3 separate regions of the Mus musculus genome follow, and regions 1 and 2 are each reported to be linked to region 3. Evidence: microRNA targets listed by miRTarBase, many of them from high-throughput screens and not tested one by one. Region 3 holds a microRNA gene; each other region holds the end of a gene's coding sequence.
What was found. The annotated mature microRNA mmu-miR-367-3p reads AAUUGCACUUUAGCAAUGGUGA and lies in region 3 at 1,939-1,960, shown strand. An mRNA with a match to its seed (bases 2 to 7 or 8) in the 3' UTR can be bound and repressed. Matches are read on the target gene's strand: a 7mer-m8 pairs with bases 2 to 8, a 7mer-A1 pairs with bases 2 to 7 and ends in A, and an 8mer does both.

Region 1: miRTarBase lists Rhbdl3 as a target of mmu-miR-367-3p. Seed matches in the 3' UTR shown: 7mer-m8 at 2,807-2,813.
Region 2: miRTarBase lists Irak4 as a target of mmu-miR-367-3p. Seed matches in the 3' UTR shown: 7mer-m8 at 3,524-3,530.

The regions. Positions count from the first base shown.
Region 1 is chr11:80,352,419-80,357,310 of GRCm38, reverse strand. It overlaps Rhbdl3 (rhomboid like 3), which reads right to left. Exons shown (of 9, transcript NM_139228.3): 9 at 1,325-3,899. The coding sequence ends at 3,628. Among named protein-coding and RNA genes, the nearest start is that of 5730455P16Rik, 23 kb to the left of the region's middle.
Region 2 is chr15:94,565,831-94,570,722 of GRCm38, reverse strand. It overlaps Irak4 (interleukin-1 receptor-associated kinase 4), which reads right to left. Exons shown (of 12, transcript NM_029926.5): 11 at 3,826-3,984; 12 at 2,406-3,709. The coding sequence ends at 3,677. Among named protein-coding and RNA genes, the nearest start is that of Twf1, 22 kb to the left of the region's middle.
Region 3 is chr3:127,543,841-127,546,840 of GRCm38, forward strand. It overlaps Mir367 (microRNA 367), which reads left to right and starts at 1,893; the gene lies at 1,893-1,967. Larp7 (La ribonucleoprotein domain family, member 7) reads right to left here. Exons shown (of 13, transcript NM_138593.2): 5 at 2,814-2,978; 6 at 2,636-2,729; 7 at 2,207-2,563; 8 at 1,986-2,130; 9 at 314-438. Gm51018 (predicted gene, 51018) reads left to right here and starts at 1,249. Exons shown (of 2, transcript NR_146435.1): 1 at 1,249-1,306; 2 at 2,794-3,000. Mir302b (microRNA 302b) reads left to right here and starts at 1,388; the gene lies at 1,388-1,461. It also overlaps Mir302c, Mir302a and Mir302d.

The DNA of each region.
Region 1 (4,892 bases), not on the chromosome of region 3:
CATGTATTAATCATGTATAAAAGTATAATAAATAGAACTGGAGAGATGGCTCAGCAGTTAAGAGCACTGACTCCTCTTCCAGAGGTCCTGAATTCAATTCCCAGCAACCACATGGTGGCTTCCAACCATCTATAAAAGGGATCTGAAGCCCTCTTCTGGTGTGTCTGAAGACAGCTACAGTGCACTCATATAAATAAAATAAATCTTAAAAATGTATGGTATATATAATACATAATATATATTTTACATAATAAATAATATTATGTATAGTATATTAAGATATATACACATACCATATATACATGCACACATATATATACACACATGTATGTATATATGTGTATGTGTATATATATATATATATATATATATATATATACATATATATATATATATATATATTCCTGAGTAGATGTGTTGTTGACAAAGACAAGGCCATGTCAAAGACCCCAGTGTGTCATCCCCACAGGAGCAGCAATGCCTTCCCTGGAAGAGACTTGGAGAGATGGGAAAGGTTTCCTCTGGTCTGTGTGTGAATATAGATAGTGTGCAGAGAATGTCTACCGTAATTTTGCCCCTCCACATGTTTATGGCCTGAAGACTGCGTCCCTACAGAGACTGTGTCTACGAGGTTAGCTACACTTGCCTTCCTGTTCATCTGGATACCACAACCTGAGTTGCCTGTCCAACAGTATATATAAACACTTTGAGCTCGTGGGGCAGGGCTGGGGCTTCTCCATCCACATCCACTCAATCCCAGATTTTCCATTCTTGAATCCACGTATTTGTCATTTCTTCATTCTGTGGCCAACTGTCCATCCCTAGAGCGACTTGGAGGGAGGTACTTAGAACTAGATGAATGGAAGGGAAAAATAGGCCTGAGGGGACAGGGGGCTGAGACTCCTCTCTATCTGCTGGCACCCACCTCGAAAACTGTCCGGGAAGCGACCTATGTGGGTGTTTTCTTTTTTTCTTTTCTTTCTTTTTTTTTTTTTTTTAAGATTTATTTATTTATTATATGTAAGTACATTGTAGCTGTCTTCAGACACACTAGAAGAGGACATCAGATCACATTACAGATGGTTGTGAGGCACCATGTGGTTGCTGGGATTTGAACTCAGGAAGAGCAGTCGGTTCTCTTAACCGCTGAGCCATCTCTCCAGCCCAGTGGGTGTGTTTTCATGGAAAGAACCTTCAGTGTTCACCAACCACTCTGAGAAGGTTAAGGAAGACAGTGCCAACCACCAGTGCCAGAGCCACCCACCCACCACTGCCCGTTTTCACTCTCCCCACCCACCATGAACCAGACACAGGCAAAGCAGGTAGCATGGCAGCCCTTGAGGTCACTCCCTGAATAACCAACAGCTTAAAAAAATCTTTAATGGAATCTGTGCTCAAATAATATGTTACAACAAAAATATACAGAATGTACACAATACAAAAATATCTAGAAACCAACGTCGCGGCTAGTGTTTTGATTTTCACTTAGTCCTGGGAGGGCAGCTCACTGACGGGCACTGTTTTTAAGGCAGAGGAGAGTCAACGATTTGCAGCCAGCCCTGGGAAGCACACAGCACTGGGTAAACCTCATTATCTGCAAACTGAATTGGACACTAGAGGAAGATCTGGGTTCGGTGAGCGATGCCTCCACTAATGCTCTAGGCAAGAATGGTTCACATGGAAATGCAGAATTTAAAGAGCCCGGTTAGGGAGCTTCTCCTAATTAAAAAAAAAAAAATCAAGTGATGAATGGTATCATTAAAGAGAAATTCCTCTTTTTTTGAAAGCCCGTTTTCCCTTGTCTGGTTTCCATGAGTCTTCTCCCCTTTAAATGCAAGCTAGTCTACATAGCTGCTGTTTGGGGATTCCCCAGCCTTTGAGGCCAACCTACAGCCTCCAGCATGAGGAGTGACTCCCAGCCCTGATGGGTGGCCACATTGGAGAGAGGAAGGGCTGAGGGACTCAGGAGAATGGAGATGAGCTGGGAGGTATTGCTGGGATGGTGAGAGGACCAGGAGCAGTTCTCATCCTCCTGCCTCCCTCCAATCTCAGACCTGTGGTTCCTTATCCCAGGGGCTGAAAGTCCCTATAAAGGTCACCTGCCTCACAGCCTCCACTTAGGGTCCCCAGAAGCGTCTCGTGCCAGCCTGAGTAGACTGTCTCAGAGGAGCAGAGGCACTGGGCTCTGAGTCTACAGTTACCTTGCCAAACACCTGATGTGGCATCCCAGGCTGCTGGGGTATGGACAGCACAAGGCCACGCCCCCCAATCTCACTTCCCTGTAAGAGTACTTCCAAGTCCCTGTAGATGGAGCCATCTAACCCTCAGCTGCTCTCACTGGGGACATTCCCTCACCCAAGCTTCCCCAATTCTTCTCAGAGGCTACGTTTTCCACCAAAATATATTTTACTACAGCTTCTTGTCCCACTAATTCACATGGAGAGATGGCCACAGTATCACTGTCCTGGGCTTTCTTTCATCCCAAAGACTTCCTTCTACAGGCGGCAGTACAGACACAAAAGCTACCCCCAAGAGAACCAGAAGAATACAGCTGAGAGTTTTCTCTCAAATGTCTGGTAGTGCTTTGGTCTTCCCTCTAGCTCGACAGTTTTTCCACCAGTCAGTGGTGCTCAGCAGGTGTTTGGGAGGGCAAGATGGGAAAGGGGGTGCATGATGCTAAAGGCAAGGCCACTGAGCGAGCACTGGAGAGCACACTGCTGCTACCCATTCCAGAAATCCCCTGTAGATATCCTCTTGTGTACATTGTCTCCCACTTCTTCCCTCTGCAGCTTCTGACTTGCCTGACATTGCACACACACACACACACACACACACACACACACACACACACACAAAACCCTGTCTCCACACCCAAAGAGAGAGGCACAAAGTAGGGTCAGGGCAGTAGAAAGGAAAGAAGAGACCCCACAGTCCAGATAGGGCATGGATGCAGAGCGATGGTCTGGAATGCTGACTCGTGACTACAGGCAGGAAGAAGAAACCGTCCTGGAACTCTCTTGGGGGAACCTGGGATGAAGAAAGTCATTACCTCAGCACAGGGCCCTCCCCTAGGGCAAGAAAAAGGCCTGGAGCTTATAGCATCTCCCTGCCCAGCCCTAGGAGCAATGCCATAGCACCACTGACAGGACTGGAGCCTGGCTTGCTCTGGGCTCCCCCGGATCAAAGCCATCACATCCATTGCCAGAGCACCAGACCTTGAGCTGCAAAGAGAATGTGGCCTAGCCTACAGTCACCTCTGGGCCGTGGCAAGCCTGGCTGTGGCTATCCTCAGAACTTCTCTGTGTCTCTCCAGGTGGAGACTAGGGAAGAGGGCTATTTGCTCACTCTGTGGCAGTGAGAGGGAATGCATGGGACAAGCCCAAGCCACAGGGACAGCCACTCTTACCCTGCCTCAGACCTTACCCATGACTCCATATCATCAGACCAGCCTAGAAAGATGACAGCAGCCACATCCATCTCCCCACCATCCTTTCAAAGCAACACGCACCCCCCAGCTCCAACAGTCTCCGGTTCTCCCTGCTTTCACTGAATTGGAGATGAGAAGCAGATGCAGGTACTTTCTCGGGATGCTTCTGTTTCCCCGCCCTGCCTTGGACCTCTGGTCCCTTAGGGGGCGGGTGGCAGCTTCAAGTCCAGCAGTGTGTAGGCAAAGATGTTCCAGAAGACAGCAAACAGCACGAAGATGGTGTACATGGTCACAAAGATCCACCACAGCGACTGGTCCTGCAGCCTCTGCTCGTAATTTCTGAGAACCACCACGCCCAGGGTGATGCCCACGGCCACGCCACCCAAGTGTGCCACAAAGCTTGGGTGGGGGCACGGGGGATAAGCCGATGGGTGGAAACGGAGCCATACAGCCCTTCCGAACTCCATACTCACTGCAAAGGGAGGAGACAGAGACACATCATAGCATGGTCCCGGCAGGGGCTGGGGAGAGATCCGGCACACAGGTTGGCCACCCAGCGTCCATTAACTCATTCACTGTCATGAGGCCAAGGGCAGCAATCAGGGAGACAAAACTATCTCAAGAGTCTATGGGGCTTGGCGATAAATCATCAATTAATTACACTCACAAGGCCATTTCATTGAGAGTTTCAGGAATGAGGCAAAAAAAAAACAATAGAAAAATCCAAGCTGGGCACAAGGCAGGGCATCCCCAAGAGGGCCTCTTGAGGAAATGTCAGACAGGGCGTCTCAAGAGAAGATGTTTGGCCTGTCACCTGAATGTTGAGAGGAGTTCTGCTAGGAGACCCTAAGAAAGGCACAGCTCTGTCCGAAGGCCCTGGTATCTCTGTGGTCATGCTACATTGCCGGGACATTTTTTTTTCATCTGTCCACTGGTATAATGGCTCAGCATTGGTGAGCCTGGCTGCACAGGTAGAACATGGCCAACAACTTCTGTGTGCGCCGAACATGACACTCTGTAGATTGTTTCCACGTGTTACTTAGAAACCTCCAGAAAATCCTGAGAGCCAGTACCTTTGTGCTCAGGAGAAAGGGATGGAGAGGGAATGAGGATAAAGAAGGAAGAGCGCTAAGTCTAGGCTCCACTTTCACTACGGACCAGTGCTTCCCTTTGTGAACTTCAGGGCTGGGCAATAGTGCCATCCTGTGTCCCAGTACTCAAGTCATGGTAAAAGGACAGACTGCCTGCCTGCCTGCCTGGCTTCCTTCCTTCCTTCCTTCCTTCCTTCCTTCCTTCCTTCCTTCCTTCCTCTTTCCAACATGGGGCCTTACTATGGAGTTCTAGATATCTTAAAACTCAATGTAGTCAAGGCTGTCCTTGAATTCACAGAGATCTGTCTCCCCGGTCCTGGGATTAAAGACATGGACCATAAAGTCAGGCTGAGAGTACATTTTTTTTTTTTTTT
Region 2 (4,892 bases), not on the chromosome of region 3:
GTTTGGCTGTTTATCAGGAAGAGTTCTGGTCTTTGGAGATGCAGAGGTGGGGAGGATATCTTGAGATAGCATTTGGCTCCTCGGGTATGTCTCTATTAAGGGGGAGTTTTATGGGTAGTGACATTCTAATGCTAGGCTGAGTTCACTCTGACTGGCCAGGGTGGGGGAGGGAGCCCTGGGCTTGCTGCAGGAGGACACAGCACAAAAATCAGCTGTCTGAAATTGTGCTTGCCCTGAGCTTGTGGGAAGATAGGAGCGTCTGTGGGAGAAGACGCAGAGGCGAAGTGTCTGTACACAACACTGAAGTCTCTTGGGTGAGACTGTTAAGAAACGGGACGATTATTCGCAGAGAGTTTGCATCAGTAATTCGGGGGTTACAACAGAACCTGTACTAGTCCCAAGGTAACCACTGAGTCATCCTTTCTTAACTCTCCCAGTCCTATCTGGTGCAATGAACAAGGCATGCAACACTGCCCCTCTCATGCCTGATTGTCTCCATAACGTCTATCCTTCCTCTACTGTCCTTAGTCCGTAGTAGTCAGGGGACCCTCAGCTGGAGAAAACTACGAATCCGTGATAGTTCCCGTGAGCCACCAATCAGAGACTGATTTCCCTCACACTGTGTCAGAGTTTATAACTTTTGTCATAAGCAGGGGTGGAGGGTTATTAGTTTCTGTGCTTCCACAACATCGGGCTGATTCCATTTGTATCCCTGTCCTACAGTTTCATGAGTGAGGCTGTGGCTGATTTCTCATTTAAAAGTATCTCCCACTTCATGGAGTTTAGTGGCACAATATAGCATTATTATGCTGGTATTGCTTCCCACTCGACCGGCAAGAAAGACGCAACAAACGGGAATCTTCCGCGGCAAAAGCTTTATTGCTTACTTCTTCAGGAAGACCCCGAACTGGGAAAATGGCGCCGCTTTTATAGCCCGCAGCGTGACGTTTCAGCACCTGATATGGCGTGACAGCTCCTGATTCGTTGCTCGCCCATCACCCCACTATTACACCCCGAAAATGGGAGTGACTAGGAGTGAGTTCACTCTCGCACCTGCGTACAAGGCTTGTTTACTAGTTAGGCACAGCGGAGGCCAGCACCATCTTATAATGGCGATTGCTCGCGGCTTGCAAGGCTCTCCACAGCGATTACTGGCAGGCAAGCACGCAATTGCTCGCAGCACGGCTCTCCACATGCTGGGTCATTCTTAAGGTCCCCATGCAACCTGGATGTTTGTTTAAGGACTGTGCCTGAGGGATATCTTCCATTGCTCCCTCCTCCTCCTCCTCCTCCTCCTCTATGTCAAGTTCTCCCTGTCAGTTCCAATATTGGGGATCCCATGGAGGACTTTAGCATACACATAATTTTTACTTTCTTTAAGTCTTCTACTCCGAGACATAGGAAATGACAAGCTAGCGTGTCCATCTTGTGTAGAGTAGAATGCACTAATAATAAACTCAGTTGTCAATAACGTGTTGGTATTGCATGAAGGACAGAAATCAACACAAGCACTTCCCTTTGGTGTCCTTGAACCGACAGTGAGCCCAGAGGTGAGTTCTCTATCTGCTGCCTTGCCTCTTCCATCATCCTGTTGTATGAGTCTGGATCGGTGTCTGCTTAAATGCTATCATCCTGCCCTAGGTCTGTATATCTATGTGTGCCCGTGTGGCTATACCTAGCAAAGGCTGAAAAACGTGGAAATCATCACATGGGGGAAGGGATGAGGAACACCTTCCAGAAATCATTAACAGAGTTTTACAACGGATTAAGTTACTGACTCCAATGGATCCCAGCTGACTCAGATATCAAACAGCTTTACACATATCACTGTTTATTGAGCAATATCCATGTGTTGACTTCAGTGGCTGCCGATGTTCATTGTATAAGATTGCTTTTAACCTATATTTGCTGTTTTCAGCAAATGATTATTGTAACACGCGAAAAGCACACACGCATTACTCTAGAGTCAGGGGCATGGGAGAACAGAGAAAAGATTAGAGCTGCTCGCTAGCTTTGGTTGGGAATCCGAGGCAAGTAAGGTTGATAACCACATTGTTCTCTTGAAGGCAGGTTAAACAGACAGACTGATCACACAGTAGGACATCAGTCTTAAGTGACCTCAATGTACATATTTAACTTGCTGTGAGGTCCAGCAAAATCCCCAGTCTTTCTTTAATGTAAGAGATTTTTATCATACTGCATTGCCACTCCACTTTTTTTTTGAGAGAGGGAGAGAGAGCGAGAAAGTGAGAGAGCTAGGGTGAGAGGGAGATACTTTGTAGCCCTAGCTGGCCTCAAATTCACAGAGATCTGCCTGGACCTGCCTCCCAAGCATTGTGACCAAACTTGTCTCTGGTTTCCTTTCTTTCTTTCTTTCTTTCTTTCTTTCTTTCTTTCTTTCTTTCTTTCTTTCTTTCATTTTACCTGCCAGTTCAGAGGATACATAGCATCTGCATCTTGTAATTCTCTGCTTAAACAGGCAGGCTGAAGAGACAGCTCAGCTCTAGTGGCAAGTCTTAGTGATGCCACAGGGTGCTTATGACCCCATCTCATATGTGCTACCTTCAAGAACTGTAGTACGGAATGGCTGATTCCATTCATTATAGAGGCATTCCTTTGTCCATTGATAGAGGAAAATGGCCTCTCCAGAACTTTCTTTACAGAGACTCATGCAGATGGAGCAGGCCTGTGGAAGTTATATGTCTTTTTACTTCAGCGGGAGCAGTACAATCAATATACAGCAAGGGGGCCTACCATGTCTACCATAAGGGAAAGGGTGGTGTCGGAATTGCCCCCTTAAATGCTCCCCCCTCAGACAGCTTGGCCTCAGTTACATGTTTTATTGCCCATTGCAGAGACAATACAAGCACACACACACACACCCTCCAAACTCACTATTGGTTCTGTTATACCCCACGTATAGTACCATGTATGTGAATTGGGGTGGGGGGGGAGGGATGACAAGCAAACATCTATTCATTCAAAATAGGACCACAATAACAGACAGAAGAATAGATTCCACTCATGTCTACATTGTTGAACCAATGAGTTTAGTTAGGGTTACAGGAGCAGTGGAGAGAGGTTCCTTACAGGAACCTAGGTGAGGAGCTATTTACAGGAGCATGAAGTTCCTATCAAAAACCAAAAGCCAGCACTAAGGCTTAAGGCAGCTAAGAGCTGGTCCAAAGCTTTACAGGAGTGGCACACACCTTTAATCCCAACACGCAGTAGGCAGAGACAGGCAGATTGCTGAGTTCAAGGCCAGCCTGGTCTACAGAGCAAGTTCCAGGACATCCAGGGCTACACAGAGACACCGTGTCTCACTCCCCCCGCCCCAAATAATCCTATTGTCTCTGTATAGCACAGTGCTGTTTTCCTGAATCTTAAGTTCACTATAGTTTGGTGATGTTGCTGTGGAACATGAGCCCCATACTAGGTGGGCGGGGCCAAGTGCTACCATGCAACTATCACTTTGGCTGCGGTGCCAACTCGTCTATTAACTAACTAACCAGTACATTGGTACATTGCACTATGCTACCATGTTAAACATAAAGCGCATTTAGGAAAACAAAAACAAATGCAAACAACAGGTAGGTGACGCAGCTCAGTGTCAAAGTGCTTTTCCGGTCTCCAGGTTCTCGAGAAGTAAAAAAAAAAAAAAAAAAGTTTATTAGTTTTAAGCAGACATCTCTTGTAGCAGCTGTTGAACCTTTCAAAAAGAAAGAGATCAAAAGAACCAGGTTAAGCCGATGTCTTGAAATGGATACTTAGTAAAGGATAAGGCACCACACCCCTCGCTGTGTAGATGGACTCGGAAGTGAATACCTTTGCAATGTCTGGCCGTCTGTTTTTCTTCTCATGCAGACACTGGCTAGCAGCAGAGTACATTGCTTCCACCGAAGCAGGGTCCGCATCGCTCATCTTCTCATCCGTGTAATCTTCAATCGTCTTCTCTTCATCTTCAATCTCTTCTTTAATATCCAGCTTGAAAACGATATTAAAACTTGGTTAAACCCTTTCAAGTTAAAGAAATCGGAAGATAAATGTAAATTATTTCGATTTATCTCAGTATTTTTTGGGGGGGCAGACTCATCAGGAGCTGTACAGGTCAGATGTTACGAAAGGAAATGCATACATAGGCACACATTTACAGATTTGCTGGCTTTATTCATATATGCGCCTGCACAGGTGCTTTATAATTCTTGCCTTTCTGGGGTGAGCTAGCTGCTCCCACTCTTGCTGGCAGCGTTTGCCAGCAGGGTCATCGGCTTCTTGATGTGTGTCTGATATTGGAATTCCACCTTGTGGATCCAGGCACCTTGTCTTTATCTACAGGGACTCAGACCTGATGAACCGAAAAGAGGGACCGGGAGATCGGCAGATGAATAAGGAGGAGATGGTGCTGTGGGTCGAACGGAAGGTTGAAAGGTGGCTCCAGAAACCTGGGTCTGTGTATGTCTGTGTCCTGGTTCCTGGAGCCCATAAATAGACCACGTGTGGAAAAAAAAAAATCTCTGTAGATCTCCGAAGCGGGAGGTCCTCCAGAGTGTAGTGCTCTGAACAGGCCGCTTCTTTGGTTTTTTCAATTGGTGGTGCTCGCAGGGAGGTTTGGGAGGCGTGGCCTTGGTGGAGGAAGTGAGTCACTGGAGGCGGACTTTGGGAACTCAAGCCCTTCCTCCATTCCCAGGTCACTCTATGCTTGGCCTGTGTGGTTTAAGATGCAAGTCATCGGGCTTCCTGCTCCTGTAACCATGCTTGCCACTTGCTACTGTATCTCCGTGCCACAAAAGACTCTGAAACTTTAAGTCCCAATGCACCCTTTTTAGCTATATGTTGCCTGGATCATGGTGTTTTATCAGGGCAATAAAACAGTGACTAAGACATTGGGTTAA
Region 3 (3,000 bases):
AGTGCTCTAATATGCTCCTGCTTGCTGAACATCATCCACTAAGCCTGCAGTCTTTATTTCTCTCTCCAGGCACTCACAAGTGAGCTCGCAGGTAAGTAGAGAAGAATAAACAGACTATTAAAACCTAGTGTGTAATACAAAACTTCACATTTTTACTTTTCTTAAAACATTTTGTTTTTGGAAATGGTTCAGCTTAAAACTGAGGAAGCCACTCTATCACTGCAATAAAACTGCCCCTGAAACCATTCATAGACTAAAGCCCACTCTTCCATTACATGAGCGTCACCCTCTCCGTTCCCCACTGCACACTTACTAGGCGCTTTACAGTCTGTTTCCATTTCTGATTCCAATTTGATTTGAGATATTGTTTTTTTTAGAGAAGCCATGCTAGCTTTTTGCAGTGCCAAATACTCTTTCTTCAAATCCATCCATTCAGTCCTGAAAAACAAAAATTGAGCCATTACAGTGATAAGACGACCCAACTAGAAATCTGAAGTTGATCTAAACACAATGTTCATAGGAACTGCAAGTCTTTCTGACTTTTCTTTCTTTTAAGGCATATGTTTACATTATTTGTTAAGCCATTTGTTAAAGCTACCTAGCAAACACACAAAGGAAGTTTCTTTGTCTTAACAGGCAAGGAAAATGCTTGAGTTTCCTGGTTGCTTCTAATATTTAATTGTAAAATCACTTTTGAGTCACTTCTATTAAGTAAAATCACTAAATCAGGCAACCTGGAGAAAAAGTAAGAGACTAAAACTTAAAGATTTCTCAAATTGCTTCCAATTTGAGAGCTAACATTCCTTAGGATTTACTTGAATCAAAAGGAATTTCTAAGAAGAAAAAAACACCCCATGGAAGCAATTTATTTATTTACATACATTTAACATGTAGATGTATCTTCAAACAGCTAGGGCTCCTCCAGAGAAGCACAATGCATCTCCTGGCTCTGTGGGAGCGCTCATTGTTACCCTAATCTGTGCCATCAAACGGGCAGATAGGAGATTTTTTTTAAAGAGGAGGATATCTTGTGGTAATGGTTTTAGCAGTTAACATTGACATCTGTTTACTTCAAAAAAGGAAAAAAAAAAAAAAAATCCAGACCTACCCAGGTCCCCAGGACCTACTTTCCCCAGAGCTGATACATTAAAATAACAAAGGGTCTTGTAATGATTCTCAGAGATAGAAAGCCAAAAGGAACTCAGGAGTTAGGAGTAGTATAAATACAAGTGGTCTAAAGTCGGCGTCTTTCACCCTCCGAGGACAGAACAGGACTCTTTGGGAGGCGGTCACGAAGGTAAAGGAGGTAAAGCTTATGTCTGTAACCGGGTCACTTTACTTTCCTGTGGGTTTGCTCTTCTGTTTTAACTAGTTGCCTTGTGGGTGGGTTCCCTTCAACTTTAACATGGGAATGCTTTCTGTCTCATCGAAGAGTAAGTGCTTCCATGTTTTAGTAGAAGTGAATTCAAGAAACTCTGGAATAAGAAAGCTAGCCTTTTAATTCAGAGTCTGATGGGAGTCCCCTCTGCTTTAACATGGGGTTACCTGCTGTGTTAAACAAAAGCAAGTGCTTCCATGTTTCAGTGGGGGTGTCTTAAACTGTTCAACATTTTCTCTAAGATGCTGTAGGTTAAGGGAGTTATTGACTGGGCTTCCCACCACTTAAACGTGGTTGTACTTGCTTTAGACCTAAGAAAGTAAGTGCTTCCATGTTTTGGTGATGGTATGTTTTCCTTTATATTCATGCCTTTGTAAAGACCACTCAAGTCTGCTTAAGGGGCCTCCTTTACTTTAACATGGAGGCACTTGCTGTGCATTTAAAAATAAGTGCTTCCATGTTTGAGTGTGGTGGCTCCTACTTAATCTTCATTGTGCTGCATATAGATAGACCAAGGCCGTCACTGTTGCTAACATGCAACTCTGTTGAATAGAAATTGGAATTGCACTTTAGCAATGGTGATGGACCTGTGTCAGTGGCCACTTACTTGGACAGCACTCTCAATGGTATAACCTCCTCGCCCATCTTATGTCTCTCCTTGTGTTTCTTCTTATGCTTCCTCTTCACCTTTGAGAGTGAGTCACCTTTTCTGTCTGTCTCCTTCTCCTCCTCAGTAGAGCAGAATTCTAAGTCTAGAAAAAAGATTTCCGTAAGTCCGTTGTTGTGGTTAAACTGGTTAAAACATTTGTAACCCTACTGCCACGGTACCTCTGCTCTCCTTGGAGACCTCGGAAGCTGCTTGGCCGACGCCATCCTTCTGAGCCCTTTTCTTAGCTTTTGGCCTTGGGGGGAGGCAGTCTTCGTCCTCGGCGCTGCACCTCTCCCTCTTCCCTGCCCTGGCTTCAGGTAAGCTGGATGCTTCCACCTTGTCCCGCTTCTTCTTTTTCTTTGCAGGTTGCTTTGGAGCTTCCGGGGTTTCTGCTTCGGAGCCCTCAGAGGCCGTCCTTGGTCTCTTCGTGGCTTTACACACGCCCGAGCTGCTGCTGTCCACGGCCGACTCTTTGGCCTGCACACTCTCTTCCTTCTTTATTCTGCCTTTTTTCTTTTTCTTCTTTTTCTTCTCTTCTGTAACAAGATTTTATTATTTACAGTCATAATAGTTTATTGTTTACTTGGCCACTCTAAGTAAGCACTCACCTGCTACTCGTAAGGAAGGGATGGGCTTGTTTTTCACTGTCTTGGGAAATATACCAGGCTTTCTAGGTGCTTCTTCTGGTGGGTTGTTCAGAAACTGAAAAGATTGATTGCAGAATTTGTTACTCTTGTTAACCCTGTGCTTTTTCTTTACTTTTCAGGGTCCCACAGAAGTACGTACCTCAATGGCTTTTGCTGCTTGCTCTTTTGTTTCAAATTCCACAAAGGCAAATCCCTTAGGATCCCCAGTAGACTTGTAATGTGGAATACTTATGTAAACCACATTGCCACATTTCCCAAATACTCTCTCAATCCAGCTATGAGTAACATTTTTGGGGAGCAACTCCTGTAATAAATCATGGTATGAA